Arabidopsis thaliana: one gene and its partners. The protein of the gene in region 2 purifies or fractionates together with the protein of the main gene of each other region. This does not show direct contact. Each region holds a gene or a part of one and is shown on either strand. Other genes may lie near its edges. The genes, in order: AT5G12940, AT3G04590 and AT3G20820.

The links.
Region 1: the proteins of AT3G04590 (region 2) and AT5G12940 fractionate together in Arabidopsis thaliana (co-fractionation; one large-scale study listed by BioGRID). This does not show direct contact.
Region 3: the proteins of AT3G04590 (region 2) and AT3G20820 fractionate together in Arabidopsis thaliana (co-fractionation; one large-scale study listed by BioGRID). This does not show direct contact.

The regions. Positions count from the first base shown.
Region 1 is NC_003076.8:4,084,877-4,090,615, forward strand, and holds AT5G12940 (Leucine-rich repeat (LRR) family protein), read left to right. Parts: upstream 1-2,812; 5' UTR 2,813-2,905; coding exon 2,906-4,021; 3' UTR 4,022-4,270; downstream 4,271-5,739. Other genes in the region: AT5G12930 (inactive rhomboid protein), read right to left, coding at 1-346.
Region 2 is NC_003074.8:1,237,757-1,244,721, reverse strand, and holds AT3G04590 (AT hook motif DNA-binding family protein), read left to right. Parts: upstream 1-2,917; 5' UTR 2,918-3,118; coding exon 3,119-3,611; intron 3,612-3,973; coding exon 3,974-4,026; intron 4,027-4,207; coding exon 4,208-4,339; intron 4,340-4,575; coding exon 4,576-4,728; intron 4,729-4,869; coding exon 4,870-5,215; intron 5,216-5,418; coding exon 5,419-5,477; 3' UTR 5,478-5,492; coding exon of another isoform or gene 5,493-5,509; 3' UTR 5,510-5,869; downstream 5,870-6,965. Other genes in the region: AT3G04600 (Nucleotidylyl transferase superfamily protein), read right to left, coding at 1-68, 258-344, 426-491, 594-645, 880-1,065, 1,155-1,274, 1,350-1,570; EIN4 (Signal transduction histidine kinase, hybrid-type, ethylene sensor), read left to right, coding at 6,757-6,965. UniProt on the Arabidopsis thaliana protein: Transcription factor that specifically binds AT-rich DNA sequences related to the nuclear matrix attachment regions (MARs).
Region 3 is NC_003074.8:7,277,683-7,283,483, forward strand, and holds AT3G20820 (Leucine-rich repeat (LRR) family protein), read left to right. Parts: upstream 1-3,109; 5' UTR 3,110-3,247; coding exon 3,248-4,345; 3' UTR 4,346-4,695; downstream 4,696-5,801. Other genes in the region: JMJD5 (2-oxoglutarate (2OG) and Fe(II)-dependent oxygenase superfamily protein), read left to right, coding at 70-162, 274-462.

The DNA of each region.
Region 1 (5,739 bases), on a different chromosome or scaffold from region 2:
TCTGGAGCTGACGAATGACACCATTCTTCTTCGACTGAGCGGCGGCGACACCAATGACCGCCACAAGCAGGAATCTTTGGTAAGGCGTGAAGAGCTCCCACGCAAGGGATTCCTCTCTGCTCAATCCGCCGCCGATTGATCGCGCTGAGCTGGCTTCATCGGAATTGACGAGTAAACCCTGGAGAGAGATGTAAGCTAGCGGGGGAGACGATTGTAGAGGCTGGCAACGACGGGTAAAGTGAGTAGAGAGGCGACGAGTATACGGAGAGAAGAAAGGGGCGAGATGGACTGAAGCATGCGGAATTGGGTAAGACCCGGGATCCGGATCCGAACCGGGTTCATTCATGGACGAGCCGAAGAGGAATGGAGGAATCAACGAGGTTCGTTCGTCTTCAAAGAGAGATTTCAATTCTTCAAAGAGAGATTTTTTCAATTTTCAATATTCAATATTCAATTTTGGGTTCTTTGGAGTTTTCTGTAATTTCAAAATGTGAGATTTCCCCCGTAAGGAAGGTGATGCGACGTTCATCGTCTGGGTCTACATTGAAGCCACGTATTCATTTTTTTGCCTTTTTGGTTCATTTTCTTTTTACTGTCTCTCTTGTACTTTTCTTCACAGCCACATTTTTCTGGTGTTTTGATTTCCAAGGTTATTGTTTTGAAAAAACAAACATATATGTTTTCTGCTTATTCGTCTTTTTGTTAAGATTAATCGAGTAGTCCTATATAGAAAAATCATACTTTTATTTGTCTTTTTTTGGAACTTAATAAATAGTTATAGACACATTCTTTGAAAAACATTAGTCCAAAACTCACTTGGTCTCTCTCTTTATTTGTCTTGGGTTCTACCTTTCTGGCTCTCCTAAAATATATCTCACCTTCACCTTGTGAATTATCTCAGCCAGTAGAGCTCCAGTTCACCGTTACGCTTTGCATGGTGCGTCAATACTTAACCTTTATTCGCTGGTCTATCTCTCATGTCAGTCATGTGCTTGCTCATGCATTATTTACGGGAACCACATTTTTGTATTAGTTCTCATAACCCTTAATTGGGTATTTGATTGAACCACATTTTGCAAGCATTAATACACGATTACACGTGACGTCTAACGGTCTAAGTGATATATCCTCCAGTGATATAGACACGTGCTATGCCCTAGTCCTTGGGAAATCGACCTTTCTTTTTGTTTTTCTTCGTTTTCTGAATTATGAAAAGTCGTCTGTTGTTGACTCCCCTGCATACTACCTACATTTTTGTAAGTGTTATTCTATGCAATCAATCCCACAAATTTCTCATCTTTTTGCACTCAAAACACAGTTTACTAATTTAGTTTGTCACGTCAACAAAAAAATAGCCGACAAAAGTTATGTTTTGTGGATGATCATTTCATAAAACTTAATTGTATAATGATTGTTGTCATCATAATCCATGTTAATATATTTCAATCGACCGATGATTTATATGAATCAGTTTTTAAAGTTCTAATACACGGCAAACGAACGTCAAGCACATGCGCGGGCACATGAGTTGTCTTTTGAATAATCAAAGCCATTAATGTCACCCTTCTGACTTGACACTTCCTTCTAAATCTCTTGATACAATTATAACAACTACTAAATCTCCGAATCACGTTTACTCTAGCTGCTGTCTCCAAACCTGTCCTGTTTTTAGGGCCGACCATGAATTTTAAGATATATCTCAAGGGAAATAACTAAATACGCTAAACTACGTTGTTGAATTAAGAAGTTGATTTTCAACGTCTACAAACATAATTTCACTAAAGGTTGAATCTATTAGCGTTTCTGTTTGACGAAAACAAACGAACAGTTTAATCTTCCGCTGGTCTATGGACGATAAAATGAACAAGACAAAATAAAACCTTACATATTTGAGTCGTTGTTCTTTATCAAAAAAAAATAAAAAATTTGAGTCGTTGCTCGTCAGATTTTATGTCACTAGACAGCAACGAAAACAAGCACATAATAATCAAAACCGTAGCAGAAAATGCCAATCAAAGGTAAATTATGGTTCATGGAGGCAATTTGCAAACAATGATTAGGATTGTGTCATACTGTAGAAAAAATTAACAAAACAATTTTTTTATTATTCATTGACTCGAAGGTTGAACAAGAAGGTCGAAAAAATAAACATCTTTACATGGGGGTTCATATTATTTATGTACAAATTGCTACCAAGGACAAAGATCACATGCTCATCTACAACGATAAGATCAATGAATTTGACAGTATATTAATAAATCATGCATCTATACATAAATAAAAACTAGTAGGAACTAGTCTAGTCAAAAAGTACAGTATTATGGACAAGATATGAAACTAGCTAGGATAATACTAATTGCTGTAGCTTAAGCCACTTGAATGTTGTCCCTCATTATTATGTCCAAAAAATTCAATGTAGACAAGAAAAAAGAACTAATACTAATATATGTCTTGCCACGATTGTTACTTTAATCTCATTTTTCAAATATTATGGTCTCATATAGCCAAATCTGTAATTCTTATATTCCAGTACGTATGGAGAGACTCGGGAGAGTCGAACCAAGAACATGCTCAGGCCTTCTGAGTTGTGACATAGATAGTACAACCAGGCGACCGAGACAAACAAAACCATGTTATTTGTAATGAATCATAATGATCCAATCTTGACCACACACAAAGAAAAGTCTGATAATAATGAAACAAATGAGCATGCAAAGTATGTGACGACGTGGCAAAAAATGAGAAGGTTCAACGAAGCAACAAAAAGAAGTATTTCGTCGTCTTTACTCCCATCAATATGTGACTATAAATAAAACCATATAGTTAAGTCACACTTCCATGTCAACGTGCTTCAACCTATGTAAAGCTAAAAAAAAAACACATCACACAAAAGATTCTCTACACTATGGATACTAAGAAATCGTTAGTGATCCTATTGACTAACGTCGTCGTCTTCTTGCTTCTCTCCACGACTGTCCATTCTTGCTTACCGTCCGACCGAGCGGCGCTTCTAGAGTTCCGAGCAAAGCTCAACGAGCCCTACATTGGAGTTTTCAACACATGGAAAGGTCTAGACTGTTGCAAAGGCTGGTATGGTGTGAGCTGCGATCCCAACACCCGTCGAGTCGCCGGCATTACACTCCGAGGTGAATCCGAAGACCCGCTTTTCCAAAAGGCGAAACGGAGCGGACTAATGACCGGCTCCATTTCGCCCTCTATATGTAAGCTCACTCGTCTCTCCGGTATCATCATCGCTGATTGGAAGGGAATCTCCGGTGTGATTCCTAGTTGCATTGAGAATCTCCCTTTCTTGAGACATTTAGATCTCGTCGGAAATAAATTCTCCGGCGTGATTCCGGCGAATATCGGGAAGTTACTGAGGCTTAAAGTGTTGAATCTAGCTGATAATCACTTATACGGTGTGATTCCTCCGTCGATCACGAGATTAGTGAGTTTATCGCATTTGGATCTCAGGAATAACAATATCTCGGGAGTCATACCGCGAGATATTGGTCGTTTAAAGATGGTGAGTCGTGTCCTTTTAAGCGGTAACAAAATCTCGGGTCAAATACCCGATTCTCTGACCCGGATATACCGGCTCGCGGATCTTGAGCTCTCGATGAACCGACTCACCGGTCCGATTCCGGCTTCGTTCGGTAAAATGTCGGTGCTCGCGACTCTCAATCTCGATGGGAACTTGATCTCCGGTATGATTCCGGGGAGTCTATTGGCATCATCGATCTCGAATTTGAATCTGAGCGGGAATCTTATAACCGGAAGTATACCTAACACGTTTGGACCGAGATCGTACTTCACGGTGCTGGATCTTGCGAACAATCGTCTTCAGGGACCGATTCCGGCGAGTATCACGGCGGCGTCGTTTATTGGTCACCTTGACGTGAGCCATAACCATTTGTGTGGGAAGATTCCGATGGGATCTCCGTTTGATCATCTTGACGCGACGTCGTTTGCTTACAATGCTTGTCTTTGTGGAAAGCCTCTTGGGAATTGTAAGAAATAATTAATTAAATTATTGTTTAAAGATTTGAGGGAATCATTATATAGTTTGATTATGAATATTATTACTATAATTTTCACGTTATCAATGTAACTATAAGCAATATTTTTATCTGGTGTTTAAGTCTTCTTGTTTATCTGTCTTGATTGATTCTCAAACTATCATCAATGAGACACCTCGAACCAAATGAAATGAGCTAATAGGATAAACTTTTCAAATACGAGTTTAGAAATGTGGACCGACCACGCTTGTGAGATCAGTAAAGCCCGGGATACATTCAACCATTTGTTCTGACTAGACTTTACAAATATGGACTATGGTATGCATATTAAATTCGTCTCCTTACATACAATTCAAAACAGTTTGGTTAGAAGTGTAAGTGTGTAACACTTTTAAGATACGTTTTTTTCTTGTATCTCTTGTTTTGGTGTGTTTCACTTAGAGATTGGTTTCATTCAAATTTCAGTTAGTACATTTTTCTGTTGTAATGTTAAACCAGAATTTGTGTCTATGTCCATTTTCTTTGTGACGCCAGGTCTATATGTCCAATTAGGTGGTCTACTTAACAAAACATATTTAAGTGGACCGTATAGGCCAAATTGGTTTGGTGGGCTTGTATCCAATGTCGGTGGTGCACCATGCATAAGTAGTCGTCTTTTGGAAGAACGGAAGATATAAATATTGCCATAACTCCACAAGTTTTTCAACTGAGTTTTAATTAGTCGTAAATCAATATTGACGTAAAAATATCTCACACCTTTAAGCAATTCTGTGATGACCGCGTTGCTGATCATAGCCTCCAAAGGATGTGCAATGAACTATAAATTTTGCGATGGAATTAGTCAAACTACATTTTCTTTGTGATGATCTCTTTGATCCGTTATTGAACACACATTTCATATTTCAAAGATAAAGTAAGAATATTGACAAAGTTTCTGATAGATTACTCTATAGCACAAAACACAATAGTCACTACTAGCTAGATTACATAAATTTATTCATTAATGGTATATTGATCTAGATTCTGTTATAAGTAATAATGGCTAGCTTGCCCGGTAAAGATCATCACAACTATATAGTAGACATAGTTTTTTTAGAAGAACAACAAGATACGACACAAAGAACACGTGAATACCGTGCGGGAGAGAATTGCACAACAAGTATGTGATGCTTCTAAGTCACTTTTATTATTAACAGGAATACCGTACATGAGAGAATTCCATAACAAGTTTGTGTGCAAAGTATGCTTTGAAGCATCCTATTAGTTAAAAATATTAATGGTCCATGCTGATTGTAAAATTTCTAGTAATAATTGTTTCAACGTAACTGGTTTTAGACAAACGTATTGACATATGCTTACAAAAGCCTGTTTCTTAAGTGTTGAGGAAGACTTTCTCTCAAAGTATTCTTGTATGAGCTTTCTATGTTCTACAATAATTTCATAAAACTCATCGATTAACTATTAAGTATTCCAATTATTGTAGGGTAAATGTATTTAACTACCATATCGTTGAAAAGATAAAAAATATATATATATATGGTCTTACAATTAGAGACTTGCTCGGTCTTGGTCTTACTAACTAATCCCCCTTCCACTATATATGTGCAATAAGTTTCTTAGCAAGATTAGTCTCACCAACTCGAAGCATTGGAATGGATAAAGATATACTTTTGACATACTTTTGAACTATTAGTATGAGTTTAAATAAAATCAATTCTTC
Region 2 (6,965 bases):
TCAATCAGGGCGGGCTTGCTATAGCCTAACCGGGGTGCGACATCACGAGTCATTCTAAAATAAGGATCCTGAACAAAACCAAAAAGAAAGAAAGATTGGTTATAAATACAAATGTGATACATGGAAAACATAAAAGAAACTGATTATGGATGGAAGTATCACATGCTCGCAGTCACAGACATTTTTATACCAATGGGAAGTTATTAATCTTTTAAAAAGGCAAACAGGTTAATATAAAAAGTAAGAAAACAGCACACCTGGTCAATAGCACAAGGAATCAAGCAGCGGAGATTGTCCTTGCCAGGGAACAAATGTGGGAATGAGCTAGGAAAAGATGGAACTGCCTGCAAATATACGGAAAACAATTATACAGTCTATATGCAGTTAGAATACACATAGCCACACCAACAGAACAAACGACATACCTGCACAGGAGGGAAACTGAGTTTCGCGATAGGATCTTCACCGGAAAAGCCAAAGATTCCCATAGCCTAGCAAAGAAGGAGATATACAAATGAAAACCACAAACACAAAGTAGCTATACAACATATCAGCCGCATTGTGCAATTCAAGGAGATAGATAGTAAAGTCACCTTATTAAGTGTAACGCACTTGCCAACCTTCACCATATTTTTATAGAAAGCACTACACACAAAGTTTTTGCATATGATCAGCCAAATATACTGTGATACATCAATCAAAAAAAAAAAAAAAAACGAAGGACAATATATGATCTTACAAATCTTCGCCAAAAAAAAAATAAAAAATTGAGCTACATGCATGTAGACTATATGTACTACCAAGAGCTCTTCAAGCAATATTTTCTACAAAGCAAGAGCGGTGCTAGTTATTTCCATAGAAGATTCGAATGCGACTTACCCGCCAACATAGTCGAAGTCCGAGAAAATGAAGGTCTTTGTTACATCGAATCCACAAGCAATAATATCTTTCGCATTTTCTCTGGCAAGTCTTTGACTTTCCTCCACCGATAAGTTCTTCCATATACTTTTTTCATCATCCGTGAGCTGTATAACAAGGGGAACCTTGAAAGCTTCTTGCAAGTATCTGCAAACCATTTCAAGTATAAAGAGCAAGCACAATCTACCAAATCCGTAAACATGGTAAGACAATACTAGCTCCAGGATCTCACTTACTTGGTAAACATGAAAGGAATCAAATGCCCCAAATGCAATGCTTCTGATGAAGGTCCTCTTCCAGTGTAGAGATAGAACTTGTCTCCTCTCTCATAAGCGTCCAAAATCTCATTGAAATCCCTGTTAAAACCTCACAATTAAAACAAGCAAGACGAGAAATTTCTACACAATTAATTAAAACAGTGAATGTCTAACCGGTGGGCGAAGAAGACACTACGGCGGAGGAACACGTGTGGTTGACGAGAAGTCAGTCTCTGAACACGATCAATCAGTGACTCGTCAAGCCTTTGACATCCAAATTTGTCAATAAGCTTGTCGTAATCGATCTTCCCGCCGTCTTTGGCGGACACTTCCCATGGATTCACCACTTGCTCCGAAGATTCAGCCTCTCTCTCGTCCTTCTTATCCACCTCCATCGCGACGGAAAACAAAAACCTATACAAAAACAGAAGTCAGATTCAAAATCCTATTAGCAAACAAGCTGAATAGAGCTGAATGAAATTGTTATATCCAAGTACCTACGGTTGTTGCCGGTGATAAGACGGCCGTGGATATACGGCGGTGGTTTTGCGACTGGAGATAGTCTTTAGACTGACGAAGAACAAAACGAGGTTTAAGTCATATATTTATTACTATTTGGGAGTCAGAATATTTTATTTTTGTCAATTTTGCCGTCAAGTTTTAGATATACACATTACCCCTTTCTCTCTGGCCCAAAATTAAAACAATTATCGTCATTTATCCCTTTACTTTTAGAGAGAACAAATATCCCCCTCTCGTTAATTTTTTCAATTGTATCACTAATCAAAGTCTTTGACGCCATGATTGCCTTTTTCACTAGAAGTTCATTCATCATCTAAATGCACCGGTCCGGTTTATTGAATATCTTCTTCGTCTTTCTTTCTGATCCGTTAATAATCTTTCCATAGTCTATAAGATGTTATCATAATTTCATAAATTTTCATAATCCAATAGTTGATTAGTTTATGCACTAAAATAGGTGTTAAAAGATTTTAGATATGAAAATCATGTTTTGTGAATTTGAGAAAGAAGAAGAAGGGAGAAGTTTTTGGAGTGTTGTTTAGTGATGGAAGAAAATTCTGATGATGTTTATAACTAAACAAGATATGTCAAGAGATAAAAAAAAAAGAGTGGTGAGTGATGGGACGTTTGATTCTCTCATTGGTCTTTTCATCTCTAAAGGATGCTTCGGTTAGTCAATACAAGACTTGAAGATGCATTAAATCTGAAAAGGCCGGCCTTTGAGTTTTTATGGAGTTCATTTTGTGCTAGCTACATTTTTCAGTACTTGAAATCCCATCCGTTTATGCAATCTCCTAGCCAAAACAGATCATTGAGTTCCAAACAGTTACAAAGTCTTTTTTTCCCCTTTGTTTGATGCTTTGTTGCTTGTTTAGGAAGAAAGTGAATATGTGGCCTAACCGGGGTATTGGTTAGTGATTAAAGGCCTTTGTTGAATACCAATGTTGACGAATGCAAAGTTGAAAAAGGAGTTCAATCTTTTTGTTACACCCCCATTGACTTTATCATTTTCTTTTAATCATTCAAATCATGGTTTCTTTGAAATTGGAGGATATGTTAAATCAACCATGTACTAAATGACTAGAGAAAAGTGAAAAACTGAGAAGGTGAGTGAGTGATCTTTCGTTTCCCTCTGAAAAAATTAAATTTCTGTTTCCTCGAGAAATAAAAACAGATAAAAAAGGGTAAAAAGAAGAGATGCTTTAACACACATAAGTCAAAAACATCTTAAGTCAAATCTAGAAGATCTAACGGTTGAGATTCTATCTCATCATCTTCCTTCTTATCGATTAATATATAAGTATAAAATAATAAAACCCTAAAAGAAAACAAAAAAAAATGCAAAAAGAAAAAATGAAAAAAAATCCCTAACTCTCTCTCTCTAGAAATTCTTATTTTTGTGCGTATCTCTCTAAAAAGGAATGGATCCTAACGAAAGCCACCATCACCACCAACAACAACAGCTCCATCACCTCCACCAACAGCAACAGCAACAGCAGCAGCAGCAACGACTCACTTCTCCTTACTTCCACCACCAACTACAGCACCATCACCACCTTCCAACCACCGTAGCAACCACCGCTTCTACCGGAAACGCCGTTCCATCTTCCAACAATGGGCTTTTCCCTCCGCAGCCTCAGCCACAGCACCAGCCTAATGATGGGTCATCTTCTCTCGCGGTGTACCCTCATTCAGTTCCGTCCTCGGCTGTGACGGCGCCGATGGAGCCGGTAAAGAGGAAGAGGGGTCGACCAAGAAAGTATGTGACGCCGGAACAAGCCCTAGCGGCTAAGAAATTGGCGTCTTCTGCGAGTAGTTCGTCTGCTAAACAGAGGCGAGAGCTTGCTGCTGTTACCGGTGGTACGGTATCGACTAATTCCGGGTCATCCAAGAAATCTCAGCTTGGTTCTGTCGGTGGGTTTAATCTTTTCTTCTTTTGAATCTTATCGTTGGTCAATTTGATATCTAAAGTTTCCAACTTTAAGGTCAATGATTAATCTCCCAATTCTTAAATTTTGATTCTTTAGCTGTTAATTCGTTGGTGTGATTTGAGACGTAAGTGCCTTGAATTAGCATTATGTATAATTTACAGCAGTAGATTTACATCTTGAGTTTCTTAATTACACTGAAGATTGTGTAGTTAGATTCTTGTTTGTATAGTTTATCAATTTGTTTCTTTTTTAGATCCCATTGAGTATCTTTCAAGTGATCCTTTAGTTATATTCTGGAATTTGTGTTATACTCTGAGCTTTACTACAAGTTTTTTGTTGGTGCAGGGAAAACTGGACAATGTTTTACTCCGCATATTGTTAATATAGCTCCTGGCGAGGTATGTCATGTTCTTGTACACTCAAGATCCTTACTTGTAATAGAGATTTGTTGGTGTAGGCACAATATCTATCATTCTTTCAATTCTAAGTCATTCTATTTCTCTTTTTGTTTCATTGATACTAATGCAAATCGAGGAGGATCCTTAATGATTCTAAGTGTTCTCTTTGTGATACTGTCAGGATGTGGTCCAGAAAATTATGATGTTCGCAAACCAAAGCAAGCATGAACTATGCGTTCTTTCTGCATCAGGCACTATCTCTAATGCATCCTTGCGCCAACCGGCTCCATCAGGAGGCAACTTACCATATGAGGTGATTTTCTCTTGCAGTAAAATAGTACTCAGCTTGCTTCTTTGTTGTTTCTTTCCAAAGGGGAGAGGAGGGTTTTTTCTTTCTGATCCTTTCTCTCTATTCTGTGTGATAGAGGAAAATTGATACACAATACAGTTAGCATGTTGATAAAGCAAAGAGATTCTTAATTCAGATACTTTCTTTGAAGTTTGCATATCATTGTTAAACTTGCCTCAAATTTCAAAAAATTTATTCAGGGTCAATACGAGATTCTCTCACTATCTGGATCCTATATCCGAACTGAACAAGGTGGTAAATCCGGCGGCCTTAGCGTTTCTTTATCTGCTTCAGATGGTCAGATCATCGGTGGAGCGATTGGTAGCCATCTCACAGCTGCTGGCCCGGTTCAGGTACAATTCTGTTGTATCATAGTTTCAACTTGCATATATTGAAACATTGTTATTGTTTCCAACCATCTTACACAAAACTGATCATTTCCTAAGATAGGAGGTCTGGCTTTGATTGATCGCCTTAGATTTGTGCAAATGCAGGTGATTCTTGGTACGTTTCAGCTTGATAGAAAGAAGGATGCCGCCGGGAGTGGTGGGAAAGGGGATGCTTCAAACAGTGGAAGTCGGTTAACTTCTCCTGTAAGCTCTGGACAGTTGCTTGGCATGGGTTTCCCTCCTGGTATGGAATCTACGGGAAGAAATCCAATGAGGGGAAACGACGAGCAACATGATCATCATCATCATCAAGCCGGTTTGGGTGGACCTCATCATTTCATGATGCAAGCGCCGCAGGGGATACACATGACACATTCCAGGCCATCTGAATGGCGCGGAGGAGGCAACAGCGGTCATGATGGCAGAGGCGGTGGCGGGTATGATTTGTCAGGTAACAAAAAAGCTCAAAACTTCTCGAAAGATGTCATCTTTCTTCATCAAAGTTCAAACCCTTAAATCCAAACAAGGACAGATTAGAATTGCTATGGAGATTGGTGGAAATTAGTATTTTGTAGAGTTCTAGAAGATTACAGGCTAAAGCTCTTCTCCGTTGTGGCAATGGCTTGAAACGCTGATGGATGTAATCTTGTGCAGGAAGGATAGGACATGAGTCGTCGGAGAATGGAGATTACGAGCAGCAAATACCGGATTAGCAGAGCTTCCAGGAGAAGTGTGTAGAGTTTAGATCCCAAGTAGAGAAACAGAAGGCGAGCAAAGAATCTGAACTGAGAGAGGACTTATTAGACAGAGACTCGTCTGAAGGGTCTTTAATCATAGAAAGAAGTTGCTGAGTGATTGCTTTTGTTCTTCTTCTTGGTACGGTGTATTATATTAACTCCACAACCTTTTTTTTATACTTTCAGTAACGATTCTCCTTCACTTTCAATTTCATTCCTTTTTTTTATACTCTTTTTCTTTTCTTATAATATTTTTTTTGGTTTTTCTTTCGTTTGTTACTAAAAAAGGAAATGCTCTTTTTGTGAAATATATACACTTCGTTTGTTCGGTTTCTACTTATGTTAATTATTCATAACCTATCTTAATTTAGTAAACGGTTCCTATGAGCCGTTACTTGGACCAAAACATTAACTCATTTGACGAAGAACAAAAAAACTCATTTGAGAATTCTGTTTATTTATTCATATTAATATTGATTTAGTTTAAAATTCTTGGTAACTTTATGTCAAGTTGTCAACTTGTAAATTTCTTGATTGATAATGTTGGAATGCTATAACTTATGTGAAGCCAAAAATTACTGTTAAAAATTCTTATCTTTAATGGGAATTTTTTGTTGACATCTAAGCTTAAAGTGAAACACCACCATTTTTATGGACTTGAGCAACTCTCCGGAAATTGCTTAAGCGAAAAGTCTGCTGCTTTTGTCTTAAAAAAACTTTGAATATTGTTGACTCAAGTCTGAAAATCCGCAACTGAAACTCCCGGAAAAGATCTGCCACCACCGGACCAACTCGGTTTCTTCTCTTTTCTAATCACTTCTTCTGTTTCTCCAACTTCTGTGAAAAAGATGTCAGATTGACTCGATTTCGTTGCTACAAATGGAGATGGGTCTTTCTTATTTATCTTACTAGATTCGAGAGGTGTGTTCTTTCTCTATTCTATTGGCTTGAATCTTAGCTTTCGTTTTTCTCTGATTACCTTCCCCTGGAATTTAAAAAAAAAAAACTCAAAGGCGGTTTCTTTTCTCAGTACTACGAATATCGAGGAACATAGATCTTGATTCCTTTGCCTTCTTCTGGGTATGCGTGTTTGGAGTTGTTTAATCTCATTGGTCTCTACGCGTTGTGGAAATCTATGAATACCAAGTCAGTTATGTTTAATTGGTTCATTGGATCTCAACTTGTAGAGAGCCTCAAGATTGTGGCTGGATTTGATTAGGGTTTTAGATAGAGAGATTAAAGATTGGATCAGAAGATGTTAAGATCTTTAGGTCTTGGATTGCTTCTGTTTGCTCTTCTTGCTCTGGTTTCTGGTGATAACGATTACGTGAGCTGTAATTGTGACGACGAAGGTTTCTTAAGTGTCCACACCATCTTAGAATGTCAAAGAGTGAGTGATCTCTTAATAGCCATTGCCTATTTCTCAATACCTCTCGAGCTTCTCTACTTCATTAGCTTCTCCAA
Region 3 (5,801 bases), 6.0 Mb from region 2:
GTTTACGGAAACTTCTTTACTTAGATGCTTTCTCCTTCTACTGAAGTTTTGATATCATCTGTTCTTCAGGTTGTTGGCAAGAAGTATATAAGGCTTTACCCATCCTTCCTGCAAGACGAACTTTACCCTTACTCTGAGACAATGCTCTGCAACTCTAGTCAGGTAAGCTTTTTCATTCCGAAGTCAAATCTCATTTTTTGGATTAAACATACAACCGAAAGCTGACTCGATTCTTCTGTTCCAAAACTGGGTGGTTTCAAACTATGGTTGAAGGTTGATCTAGACAATATCGACGAAACCGAGTTCCCAAAGGCCATGGAGTTGGAGTTTATGGATTGTATTCTAGAAGAAGGTGAAATGTTGTACATCCCTCCCAAATGGTGGCACTATGTCAGGTCCTTAACAATGAGTCTCTCGGTTAGCTTCTGGTGGAGCAATGAAGCAGAATCTTCTAGCTCGTAGCGAATGGATTTATTTTTAATCTCTGTTTCAGGTTCTAAGTTCACGTTGTGTCTTTATGTAAGAAGAAACTATGTAGAGAAGAAAACAACTGCTCCGAGCATGAAGATGTTTGTTTGGTTTACGTCTATGTTGTAAAAGACAATTGAGAGCTCTTGGTACAGACATTTTTTAGGTATTGGTAATGTTTGTCTTTGTTTCAAGTAAGAAATGGTTTAATCAAAATCTAATCTTCAATTAGTATCTTCCTTTTAGTTGGCTTATGTCATTGTAATTGCACTTATCTTGTTGATATCATTCATTTTATATATAACTTGCGACCTAACCAATGCTTTGGAGTTCGTGGGTGATTAATATACTCATGCCAAAACCAATAATTAATTTCTTGACACGTAATACCCGCAGCAACTGAGCTGTCGCATGACAAGCCAAAAAACCATCAAGTTTAAAGAAACAAAATCCACCAAGATGAGATTTTTAACTCGCAAAGATTTTTGTTCTTTGGGATGTAACATTAAATAGTAGACGACAGATTTTATGCGAAATACAAAAACTTTGAGAAAATAGTTTTAAAAAAGACATATTGTACCCCTCCAGGTAAAAAAGATCTAGTCCAACACCTATAAACTTTGAAAACTCTACTAGCATTAAACTTTGGACATTACTATGTCTCGCATAATCGCCTTTAGGAATGCTAAGGACAAAAACATGTTTTACAGTTATTGTCTGTGAGCAGTAGTTTCATGTGGCTGCCGTTTATTACGAAACCGTCGGTGCTGAATTAGAGACACGGACGGTGAAAAATCATAAACGGTAAATGCTTTTACAACCATTTATCTATATGCTTTGAAGCCCAATCTTAGCCCAAGCCATGATACTAGAAGCCGAATCAAAAGCTAATATAGGGCTTGATTGGTTCTCCCTCTGCCACCCGCAAACGCAGCGTTTGCGGGTGGTAGCGGTTATTAGCGGTTGGCACCAATCATAGAAACCGCTAGATACCGCTTTGGACCGCTTGAAATCACCAGATTTCAAAAGCTCCTTCCCGCAAGCGTTTGCGGTTGCGGGCGGTAGCGGTTAGGTTAAAAAAAAATTAATTAATTAATTAAAATAATTATGTCTTCCACCCAAACCTTATACTTATTCTTATCAGAAAACCCTAATCAATGAAACCCTATTCTCTCAATTATGGCATCCACCCAAACTGACAAAAATCAAAGTCAAAATCAAGAATCAAACGTAAGTATGATCTATCCTTTCATCCATTCATTAGCTAGTGTAATTCTCGGAATATTTCATGGCATCGTTGTTTTTTTTTATTTTGTTTTTTTTTGAGTTTTTTGATTGAATACATGTTTTGATTTGTTTTCTCGATTAGAAAATCATTTGGTCAAACGAGACCACATTTGCGTTACTTCAACGGGTTATTGTGGAGAAATAAACGGAAGAATCCAAAGACCCCAAAATCAGATTTCTAAGTGATGTTCAAAAAGAAAATATTCTTAAGAATATTAACGTTTGGAAAAAATTTGAGTTGGAGATGTGTTAAAAATCGTTTGGATATCTTGAAGAAACTTTATCATATGTATAGAGGCAATCCGGAAAACCCGCGAGTTCAACGTTATTTACAGTTTATCACACTACTTGATGCAATTTTTGGTGATGTACCAAATGCATAAAGTATTAAACTTTTTCTTACAAAATTTATTTATTTTTGAATTTTTAGTTTTATTTATGGTTTTAATTATTAAGTATGTTTAATTTTTCAAATATTATCAATTTATCATAATAATATATTGTATTTTTTTTCTTTTAATAGTAATATATTATATTTATTTTGGTTATTTTTTATTTAATTACTATCGCACCCGCTGGTTTACCAGTCATAAAACTCCCGCAAACGCACTCATTACCAAACGCTCAACCAGTCGTTCAAAACACTTGATAACGTTTGAAACCGCAACCGCCCGTTTCCGCAAATTCCCGCAACCGCAATCGTACCCGCTGCGTTTAAACCAGGCCCATAGTCAACATAAGTTACGGAACCACAACTATTTGCGACTCGAAGATGTGTATCGTCATCTCATAACATGATTAGAAAAAGGATTAAAATGCAAGAACATAACCACGTGGCGTCATGTTGACCCTGTGATATGATTGTAGTAAGCAACAAGCTTATCCAACCGGCAAGTCGCATCGGAAAATCTAATCGTAGCTTCAATTATTTGCATGGGAACTCTCCCCCACTTTCAGTTCCTGTCTCTATCTTAATTTGTCTGCAACCTTTTCTATTACCATCTAATGAATGTGCTCAACACTATAAATCCATGTGTATGTTTCTTCATTTTTGTGGCCATATTATTGCTACAACTAGTTATTACAAACCACACAATCACATGTTACTCAAACAACAAACCCACATGTTAAAAGTTATTACCAATTTCTTACGTTCTCGTTTTTTTGTGTTTAAGATATCTAACATGAATTTGACATTTGTTGTTGACTAATTTGATGTAGAATTTCTTGATTAATCAAGATTACACGAACACAAGCTTCATTATTGAACGAGGCCAAAGTGTCTAATCTTACCCATATCGAATTATTATTTTAACAATTTCACGTAAAAAAAAAAATAAAGCAAAGTATTGTCCTTTTTTTATTAATATATTTTTAAAAATTCCCTCTTTTATTTAATATCCTCTATTTATATGCCATTAACGTCTATCTTCTTCCCTCACCCATCAAGTCCCAATTCCCAACACTGTCACTCAAAAAGAATCTTCAAACAATGAATCTCAACGTCGTCGTTTTACTCCTACTCCTTCTAATCTCATCCGCCACGTGTTGTCCGCCGTCAGACCGCCGTGCACTTCTAGCTTTCCGATCAGCTCTTCACGAGCCTTACCTCGGCATTTTCAACTCATGGACAGGCCAAGACTGTTGCCACAACTGGTACGGTATTAGCTGCGACTCGCTCACTCACCGAGTCGCCGACATAAATCTCCGCGGCGAGTCAGAAGATCCAATCTTCGAACGAGCTCACCGAACCGGTTACATGACCGGACACATCTCCGCCTCGATATGTGAGCTCACTCGTCTCTCCGCCATTACAATCGCCGATTGGAAAGGTATCTCCGGCGAAATCCCTAAATGTATCACTCGTCTTCCTTTTCTCCGTACACTCGACTTAATCGGAAACCAAATCTCCGGTGGGATTCCATACGACATCGGAAGATTAAACCGGTTAGCTGTTTTAAACGTAGCCGATAACCGAATCTCCGGTTCAATTCCAAAATCATTAACCAATCTCTCTAGCTTAATGCATTTAGATCTCCGTAACAACTTAATCTCCGGTGTAATCCCGTCGGACGTCGGAAGATTAAAAATGCTCAGCCGTGCGTTATTATCCGGTAACCGAATAACCGGTCGGATCCCAGAATCATTAACCAATATCTACCGGTTAGCTGACGTGGATCTCTCCGGTAACCAACTCTACGGTACAATCCCACCGTCTCTAGGACGTATGTCGGTACTAGCCACACTTAACCTCGACGGAAACAAAATCTCCGGCGAGATACCTCAAACTCTGATGACGTCGTCGGTGATGAATCTGAATTTGAGCCGGAACTTGCTACAAGGGAAGATACCTGAAGGGTTTGGACCAAGGTCTTACTTCACAGTTCTTGATTTGTCGTATAATAATCTGAAAGGACCAATACCGAGATCGATCTCAGGTGCGTCGTTTATTGGTCATTTGGATCTTAGCCATAACCATCTCTGTGGGAGGATTCCGGTAGGTTCACCGTTTGATCATCTTGAAGCGGCGTCGTTTATGTTTAACGACTGTCTTTGTGGTAAACCTTTAAGAGCTTGCTTGAAAAATTGATTTTTATATGTAATTTGAGTTTTTTCATTAGAGACATTATTATATTTATGGTTATGCATTTTATAAAAAAAAGATTTAAAATTGTATGCTACGTTTAGTTGAATTATGGGATGATTAACAAAATATATAAACTTCCAGTTTCATTCGTCACACGATTGCTATCATTTTTAATTCAATTGTTTGGTTTTTTGTAATATGTTATATGTGTACGTATACGATTACTATAAACTGTTTTATAGACGATTAAATTTTCTCTATAACACACGAACATATTTGATAATCAATTATGTTTACTGTGACAAGAGTCAATATTGGGAATATATCCGAACATAGGATATACATGGAAATACCTACGGATATGTTCGTATTTAATGTATCGAGTAAACTATTTTTTGTTTTTTCTTACATATTTTATACGATATACATATAACTATAGACTAGGAATGCATTTAGTTGGGTTTGTTTAAGAACATTTATTCTAGAGCCAAATACACATAATATGGAAAAATTCAAATCACAATCACATGAAGAAGAATTAAATGAAACATTAAAAAGAAAGCGTTGTGGGGGTAATAAATAAATGGGCAGAGGCATTGCATGTGAGACTCTGTAAAGCATTTTGCGGTGAGTGTTAACCTCAGGACCTGTCGCTGCTTCACTACATGGGTCTACTCTTTATGTCACTGCATTCATTGCTTATGTCTCTAATTACACACATTTATATACTTGCTTACAAAACGTTTTGGGCTCATACAGCTTTAGAGTCCAAACTAATTGGGCCTACGTACGTTGGTCCCTATAGATTTTTATGGTTTAGAGTCCATCACAAATCTTGTTTTCATACTTTGTGGTATGTAAAGTTGAGATTCAAACAAACCATTTGTACAACGTATAAATTATGTATTAAGTTTGAACCTATTTGATTATATATTCCGATAAATAATCTGCCATACATCATCAAAACAAAATGATTTTTTTTTTAACATGAACTAAAGAAGAAGAAGAAAGTTGTACAAGTTCTTTAACTCTCTCCCTGCCTTCTGTTGCTTATGGAATAAGGTTGGTCGAACACAACATGTGATCACCTTCCTAATATCCAAATCTTCTTTTGTCCTATTAATTATTTATTTTTTCCAATATTTATCTTGATGGATTTTAGTATAAAATACCCATTGTCAATTTTGAGAAATGCCAAACTATAATTATAGGTTTTGTCCACTTTCTTTTTTTATTTTTTATTCCTCCTTTTTGTATTTGTCTTAATCAGTACTACTCGAAATACACTTTGTTCACTACTTGTAAAAACTCTTAACATACTTGAATAGGATCTGTTTTCTATAATTAACAGAAACATTACAAAGAACCAAATGCATAATGGTATGCAAGAAAACAAACCATATGAGTCATTGTTTAAATTGACTCTCCTTGTACAGTGAAACTTCTAGCTAATTACTTT